Coturnix japonica: one gene and its partner. The protein of the gene in region 1 binds, or shares a complex with, the protein of each later gene. Links are inferred from orthologs where the notes say so. Each region holds a gene or a part of one and is shown in the gene's direction. Other genes may lie near its edges.

Region 1 (3,510 bases):
ATAGAAGTTCATAATCCGAGGAATACTGAAGCTGTGACGTTAAACTTCAGAGGAGAAAAGCTTGCCAAGGTATGAAATCAAGTATTTTCATCTCCATACAATGACACTTGTTTTTAATCCTATGAAACTAAGTTGTATGTTCTCTTCCAAGCCTCTAAGGTAAATTGGGTTTGGATTGCATGTGTTTTACAAGGTCACAACATATATGAATGTTTTTGTTTAGCTAACGTAGATCTATTCTGCTACCCATAACCTGCTGGTGTTTTCAGTCCAGTCATCCCAGTCTGTTTGCTGTGTGATCTGAACAGCGCTCATCAATTTTCTCCTAACAAAGAATATCAATTCCAGTCATGTTGGAGCACTGCGCTTTGTGCATAAATAATATGATAGGCTTCATTTACATTTCAGGAAGATGCTGTCAAACACGCAATCCATCCGTATATACTAGAGGAGAATAATTACTTTGGCTGAATTAAATAATTACATGCTTGACTGTAATCAGGCGTTTAGAGCTGCTGTCTTTAGATACTTCAATCAGTGAGACAGCTTGTAAACAGGGTGCTCTAGCAGAGGGAGGTCTGTAGGCATGAATGCGGTGCATCTAGTAAAATGATTTCAAAAAACAGCTTAAAAATAATGTTACATTAGCTGTGTTCTCCTCCTTTTCAGGTGATGGGCTCTTTAGCAGATAAGAAGCCGGAGCAAGGACAGAGAATTTCTGGAATCCTGGTCAAAAGGAATTTTAACTATCACATCCTTTCTCCGTGTGACCTCTCCAGTAAGTGAAGGCGGTAACTTACTTAGTGGATCATTGAAACTCTCTGTGTCCTTCTCTGTCATTATGTGCAGTGTTGGCTTTTGGATGCTTGTTTGTTACTTTGTGTTGGAGGAAATCATTGGACGCGTGTCCATTGGTGTCAGTTTGGCGTAGTTTTGCCTACATTTCTGGGCTGTTGGTGTGAGAATCAAGGATTTCCATTCTTCACAATCGGTCCTTTTGCACCCTCTGCCTTCATTGTTTTGGTGCCGTTGTTTCTCTGTGCTGACAACCTGATTGTTTTAGAAAGCAAACTTAAAGCTTTTAAAGTAAACTGTTGTTAAGACATTCTTTTAACAATTCTTTCAGATTATACGGACTTGGCTATGAGCACTGTGACACAGACACTGGCCATTCCATATACCGGCCCTTTCAATCTGCTCTTTTATCAGCTGCAGAAGCTTACGGGTGTGTATTCAGAAAGAAATGTTTGTGATTTGTTCTTAAATCAACTTACAGTCTTTGGAGGGACCTTCTGAGTGGGAACTTCTTTGCTCTGCAGTGCCACAGTTTGGTTTGTGTCTTACAGCTCTCGTTATGTAGTGCAGCTTCTGCCACATCCATCTCACGAGTGTGACAAACCCTGTGTGGGCATCCTAATATAACTGTAATACAAATCCATGAGCATACAGCAATGTTGAACCTCAGCTGCTTTTTGTCTCCTGTCAGCCCCAAAGTGAGCAGCTCAGCCACCCCGATGGAAAATTTAGCAAGTGATCAGCCTTTATCTCCAGCCCCAAAGCAGAACGCTTAATGGCATCTATTTAATAAAACTAAGACAAAAGAATTCTTTCCTTGTGTCAGACGACATGTTCTGTTCCTCCCCACGAGCTATGAGAATCCAAAGCAAGTGCAATGGCCAATACTGCACACTCAGAAAGCCACGCAGATACAGTTAGTCCTGTTCTCAGTGTCATTTTATTCTCACTAACCATTTGTCGCTGCTTCTTAGGTGATGTAGAGGAAATAGAAATCCAACAGAAACCAGCCCTGAAGGTCTTCAAAAGTATTACTGTAATCCAGGAACCAGGCATGGTAGTCCTCGAGGTAGGCACTGGGTGGGGGGAAACAACTATTTTCATTCTCCAGATCCTGTAGAATAGTATCATGTAGATGCTGAGCACAGTGAACTGTTTTAAGTAGCTTTCTGATGGATCATGAGCAGAGTGAAGAGGAGAAGTTGCCTTTGGCCATGCTGCTGTGTTGATGCATGTTATTTCACTCAGCCAGTTTCTTCTCTTGCAGTGACTCAGTGGCTACAGTGAGTACAGTGACACTCCAAGAGGGCCATGAGTGCTGTTTTATGTTGTGTTATTTATTCAGCCCCAACAACAGGCTGAAATCTGGGATTTGATTTCTGTTTTGTCCATCTTCCAGTGGGTGGCCAATCCTGCCAATGACATGTATGCAGACACCGTGACCACAGTGATACTGGAAGTTCAGTCGAATCCCAAGATACAGAAAGGTAGGTAGCACATGCTTCTTCAATGGAGGTTTACTGCTGAATTTTGGACATCAGGCTTCAGGAGTTTTAGAACGCCTTAAAATGGATTTCCTGCTGCTGTGCTTCACCTCAGGGAACTTCTCAAGAGTTTTATGTTCCTTAAACACAGAATTACATGTACAGCTTTGCATTATTTGCAGCATGTGCACATGTCTTATCTATCAGTTTCTAGTTGGCGTTTGGTGTTCAGTTTTATGCTGTTCTCTGTCCTCTCCCACACTGTGTGATGTACTTCACTACAGCTAAAGAAAACAGAGGGATTAGAAACGAGTCGCGGGGATTTCTCCCACTTTGAAGTAGATGAAAGTAAAATGACTTTTTCTTTCCAGCTGCAGTGCAGAAAGTTTCCACAAAAGTAGACACGGAAGAGTATCGCAAGAGAGTGGAAATGATGCTTCAGTAAGTCAGTGGATCTTTTTCTAAATGAAAGCGATCACCATTATTTGTGTATATAGAGTAGTTTTATTACAGTACCACTTAAAGGTAGAGTTAATGTATTGACGCTTCTGTGTAGGCCTGGAGTTAAGTAAAGATTGAGGTACCCTGAAAAAGCTCTCGGTGTCATTGAGACTTCAAATCCAGGGCCTTTGGAAGCCTAAGGTTAATGGAGAGGAAATGTGTTTGCTGTTTGGCAGTTACCTGATGTGAGCCAACCTTTGTTCCAGGGATATGTTTGGAGAGGACTGTGTGAGTTCCAAGGAAGGCTCCATTCTGTGTGTCACCGTAGATGGCAAAACTGCAAACCTCTCACTGGAAACTCGGGTACGTACATGAAGCACTGGGAGTTATTTACCTGTGTGTGCTGTGCTTGTTCTCACATGCTTATTTTGTGCTCTCAGACGGCTGACTGCGAGCCAGGCAGTGAGGACGATGAATCCCTGCGAGAGATGGTGGAACTGGCTGCACAGAGGCTGTACGACGCCCTCAGCCCCGTGTACTGCTGACCTGTAGATACGTAGGACACATACAAAAAGCTTGTAACGTTCAAACTTGGACTTTTTGTTTTTTATAAAGTGAATAAACGTTTTCATCAGCAACTCAAATGCGTTATATGAGTGGGAAACTAAGCTCAAAGAATGGGTGTGCAGTGTTACCCGTGTCATCTGCATTAGTGCTTGTGGATCATAATAAAGTGCGGTTCCCTCACATCTCCTTCCGGAGCCCTTTAAGGCTGTAGCCTTCCCTGTCG
Region 2 (4,208 bases), on another chromosome or scaffold:
TTCTTCTGGCTTTACTCGCTCTTCCTTCAGCATCTGCACCTCAAACAGCTCCAGGGCCTCTGCCAGCTACAGAGAAAAGGAAAATGTTTTATGAAGCAACAATTCAGTTACAATGAATAGCCTTAGCTGTAGTCAGAAATCCTACAGAGCACAGAATTCCTCATAAATTCTTGTTTTCCTTCTTTTAATAATGATGATAATGAGTTGGAAAAGACCTCTAAGATCATCAAGTCTGATCTGTCAGTCCTTCAGTGCCACATTTCCACAGTTCTCAAACACCTCCAAGGATGGCGACTCCACCACCTTCCTGGGCAGTCTGTTCCAACACATTACCACTCGTTCCAAGTATGTTTCCTAGTATCCAACCTGAACCTCCCCGGCACAACTTGAGGCCATCACCTCACATCCTATCACTGCTACCTGGATCAGAGGCCAACTCCCACCACACCACAACTTCTTTTCAGAGAGCAGGAAGCAATGAGGTCTCCTCAGACCTTGAACTGCTTCCCATAAGACTTATGCTCATGGTTTTATTGCCATTCTCTGGACACACTCCTGGGCCTCCACATCTTTTTAGTAGCGAATGGTCCAAAACTGAACAACAAGTACTTGAGGCATGGCTTCAAAAGTGCTGAGTGCAGACAGACAGCTATAACAGGAGGCAGGAGTAGCAACTTTAAAGGCAACTTTAACCTCAGTTAAAGGCCAAAGGGACCTGATGATCACTTCAAGCCCCTCCCAAGCGAACCATTCTAATCCTAACAGCAAAGTGCTCGTTCACAAGCACCAAACGTTACTATAACCCCCAAATCCCACCTTGTCCTCCTTGATGAGGGCCTTGCACCTTAGGAAATACCAGTACGGCGTGTTCCTGCGGCCGTACCACAGCCTCCTCTCCCCTTCTTCCTCCCCATCCTCTTCAAGCTTCAAGTTCCGAAACACCGCCGTGGTTTTGTGGTAATATTTCCTATGGGAGAACTTAGCAGACAGCGTCCCGAACTCCACACCTTCATCATCATCATCATCATCATCATCACCAGCTTCGCCTTCAGCACCGCGCACCTCAGGGGGCGGCTGCGACGAGCTCAGCGCCCTCAGGCCACGCAGTGAAGGGAAGCTGGGCCTGAGGTACCGGAACAAGGCGGAGGGAAGCGGAGCAGCGGCCCGGCAGCACCGCCAAGGGACGGGCTGGAGGCTGAGGAGGAGCCGTGCAGGCCGCATCGCGAAGCGCGGCGCACACACCGCCCCGCCCCCTCGCGGCCACCGTAGCGCCACGGCGCATGCGCGGCAGGAAGAGGCGTGTTCAAAGCGGCGGCCGGAGCCGGAGGTGTTTTCCCGGCATCCTCCGGGACGGGCGGGCGGCGCGGCGCGGGTCGCGCGCGGCCCCATTGAGTGTTGAGGCGCTGCCGAAGAGAAGCAGGCTGGGTCGGGCCAGGCCGGGCCGGGCCTGGCCACAGCCGGCCCCAACCATTCCACCCCTTCCCACCCGGTGCCGTCGCCCCCCGGCTGCAACCATGCAGGAGCTCATCGCCAGCGTGGACCACATCAAGTTCGACCTGGAGCTGGCGGTGGAGCAGCAGCTGGGGGCGCAGCCGCTGCCCTTTCCCGGCATGGACAGTGCGTGTGGGCGCCGGGCGCGGCATAACCTCTATCCCTGAGCCGGGGTGGTGGGACAAGGATGGAGCCTAGAGAAGGGATCAGCCTAGAGAGAAGGTTGTGGGGTGACCTCAGTGCAGCCCTTCAGTACCTGAAGGGAACTTAGTGCCAGGAGGGGAGTAAACTCTTGGAAAGGGCTGACAATAGCAGGACACGGGGAAATGGTTTTAAGTTAAAAGAGGGAAGATTTAGGTTGGATGTTACGGGGAAGTTCTTCACTAGGAGAGTGGTTAGGCCCTGGAACAGGCTGCCCAGGGAGGTTGTGGATGCCCCGTCCTTGGAGGTGTTCAAGGCCAGGTTGGACGGGGCCCTGGGCAACCTGATGTAGTAAAGGTGTATGTTTGGTGGCCCTGCCAGGCAGGGGGGTTGGAACTACATGATCCTTGAGGTCCCTTCCAACCCGGGTCATTCTGTGATTCTGTGGTGGTGGGGATGGGGCTGTTCCGTGCCCTGTGCTGGGCTCCTCGTGTCCCCTCAGCTCCTGCTGCCCTGAGGTGCTGCCTTGGGCCGGGTGCTGTGTGTCTGTAGCCGTAGTTTGTGCCGTGCTGGGATGGAAGGAAAGTTGAGGCGTTCATGTGAATAAACACTGCTGTCCCACGCTGTTGTTTGATTGCCCTTTTGATAGGTGAGGTGTTTTGGTGGCAGGGAAGGTGTAGGTGTGTTCACAGTCTGGGATCTGAGCACTTTCCTGCATTAGTCTGGAGATGGGGGAGTCAGGGGAGGCCACATCATTCCCTACAACTCCAGAAGGACATGGTCAATGTGGTGAGAATGGGCTGGTTGGACTTGGTCATCATAGGGGTCTTCAACCTGTCCACTGATGCAAGTAGTCCTGGGAGACTCAACAGTTTGCTGACGTTCTGTGTCAGTGCTGCTGACCTCACATTGCTCCCTTGAGTGCTGTGATTCCTGTAGGTCAGTGAGGGATAACGCAGCAACAACTGGGTCAGGCTGATCTGCAGAAAAGACTTTGAGAGCCAGGGCTATAAACATGTTTCACTACAGCAAGTGGTTTAATAGTCATTGCCCAACCTGAAGTCTGAAAGGCTATAAACAGAACTGCAAATTTCCCTGCTGTGTATTCATTGAGGAGAATACAGACATTTGTGAAGGCCAGAACTGAACAAAGAATTCATGCAGGGATGTAAATTCCTCAAACCAAAATGCTGTTTCTCTTTTGAATTTGAGGACTCAGTCGTTTCTTCAGGCAGAAAATACTTTGGAAGCTCCTACTAAAGTTTGTTAACGTTTATTTTGTTTCTTCTTTCCACAGAATCAGGTGCAGCTGTCTGTGAATTCTTTTTAAAAGCAGCATGCGGGAAAGGCAAGTTGTATTTCCAGTACACTTACACTCGTATTGCAGGGAGGAGAAATAGATTTGCTGGCACGTTCTATGTTAATCATGGCTTTTGTTAACTCCACAAATTGTGTGGGGTTTGCTGTGGATGTGGCTGTTTTAGTGTCTATGGGTTGCGGCTGCTGGGATTTAGACATGGAGACTACAGTGCTCAGCTCATTAGAGGGTAAAACAGGACTTGTCTGGATGTCCTTGTTTATCGTTACCATTAAGAACTGAAGTCATAAGGAAAAACTGAGTTCTTCTGAAACCTCTCTTGTAGAGGCGAGTGAAGCGCTGCTGTTGCTGTGTTCCTGCTTGTACTGCAGAGTTTAATTGTTCCTCTTTTTCATTTCCCTTGCCTCATCCTTGTGCAGGAGGTATGTGCCCATTCAGACACATCAGTGGGGAAAAGACTGTCGTTTGCAAACACTGGCTACGAGGACTATGCAAAAAGGGAGACCAGTGTGAGTTTCTGCACGAGTATGACATGACCAAGATGCCTGAGTGTTACTTCTACTCCAAATTCGGTAAGAAACATTGTAGCTCCTACGTAGTGTTCCTTGCAAGCGTGGGAGTCTGGTGAAGAAGATCCTGGTACATCCTTCTTATTCCATCCTCAGAATATTTCAGTTCTTCCATGTCTGCTGACACTGTTCCATTGTAGTTTTTCAGGTCTGCTTAGCTCTTTTATCTTTTTATTCCCCTAAATTCGCCATGTGTTGTAGATGTTTCCTCTCTCAAGAGCTTGTCATGTTGGGGAAGAGGGAGGAAGTTCACATTGTTACTGGGTTTTGTGCTTTATGTTCTCTTTTTTAGTATGAGTTGAGTAGGCTGAGCAGTTGGTCTTTGCATGACTCTTGTTTTGGGGAGTTGATGAGCAGCAGAGGGCATGGGGGTGCAAAACTTTTATGCACTTGCTTTCCAGCTCTGGAGATCTGGACATAATGAGGCAACTTGCTGTCAGAAACTTACAGTCTTGTAGGTTTCCTTGGATTGAGGTTAGTGTGCAATTTGTAGTTTCTCCACACTTTTGGTGCACTAAATGTTTGGTTTTTGTTATCATGACTCTCTTCCAAAAATCAGTTTCTGCATTGTTTTTAAAAGCACACATAAATAATCCAGTCTGGTAGAAGTTCACTCACTAGGGGTGAGTGCTTGGTGTTCATCCTCTAGGTTAAGTCAGGCAATAAGACCGTTGTGCCTGAACTTATGA

What was found. The genes of interacting proteins can lie anywhere in the genome.
Region 2: CPSF3 (region 1) and CPSF4 share a complex: the UniProt entries of both Homo sapiens proteins name them as parts of the cleavage and polyadenylation specificity factor (CPSF) complex. The link is inferred for Coturnix japonica from reciprocal best matches to the Homo sapiens genes CPSF3 and CPSF4.

What each region holds. Positions count from the first base shown.
Region 1 is NC_029518.1:87,816,016-87,819,525, forward strand, and holds the end of CPSF3 (cleavage and polyadenylation specificity factor subunit 3), read left to right. Parts: coding exon 1-69; intron 70-669; coding exon 670-778; intron 779-1,126; coding exon 1,127-1,225; intron 1,226-1,769; coding exon 1,770-1,864; intron 1,865-2,194; coding exon 2,195-2,282; intron 2,283-2,650; coding exon 2,651-2,720; intron 2,721-2,986; coding exon 2,987-3,083; intron 3,084-3,160; coding exon 3,161-3,265; 3' UTR 3,266-3,364; downstream 3,365-3,510. UniProt on the Homo sapiens protein: Component of the cleavage and polyadenylation specificity factor (CPSF) complex that plays a key role in pre-mRNA 3'-end formation, recognizing the AAUAAA signal sequence and interacting with poly(A) polymerase and other factors to bring about cleavage and poly(A) addition.
Region 2 is NC_029529.1:4,430,397-4,434,604, forward strand, and holds the start of CPSF4 (cleavage and polyadenylation specificity factor subunit 4), read left to right. Parts: upstream 1-1,403; 5' UTR 1,404-1,514; coding exon 1,515-1,617; intron 1,618-2,929; coding exon 2,930-2,980; intron 2,981-3,369; coding exon 3,370-3,522; intron 3,523-4,208. Other genes in the region: pentatricopeptide repeat-containing protein 1, mitochondrial, read right to left, coding at 1-66, 817-1,403. UniProt on the Homo sapiens protein: Component of the cleavage and polyadenylation specificity factor (CPSF) complex that play a key role in pre-mRNA 3'-end formation, recognizing the AAUAAA signal sequence and interacting with poly(A) polymerase and other factors to bring about cleavage and poly(A) addition.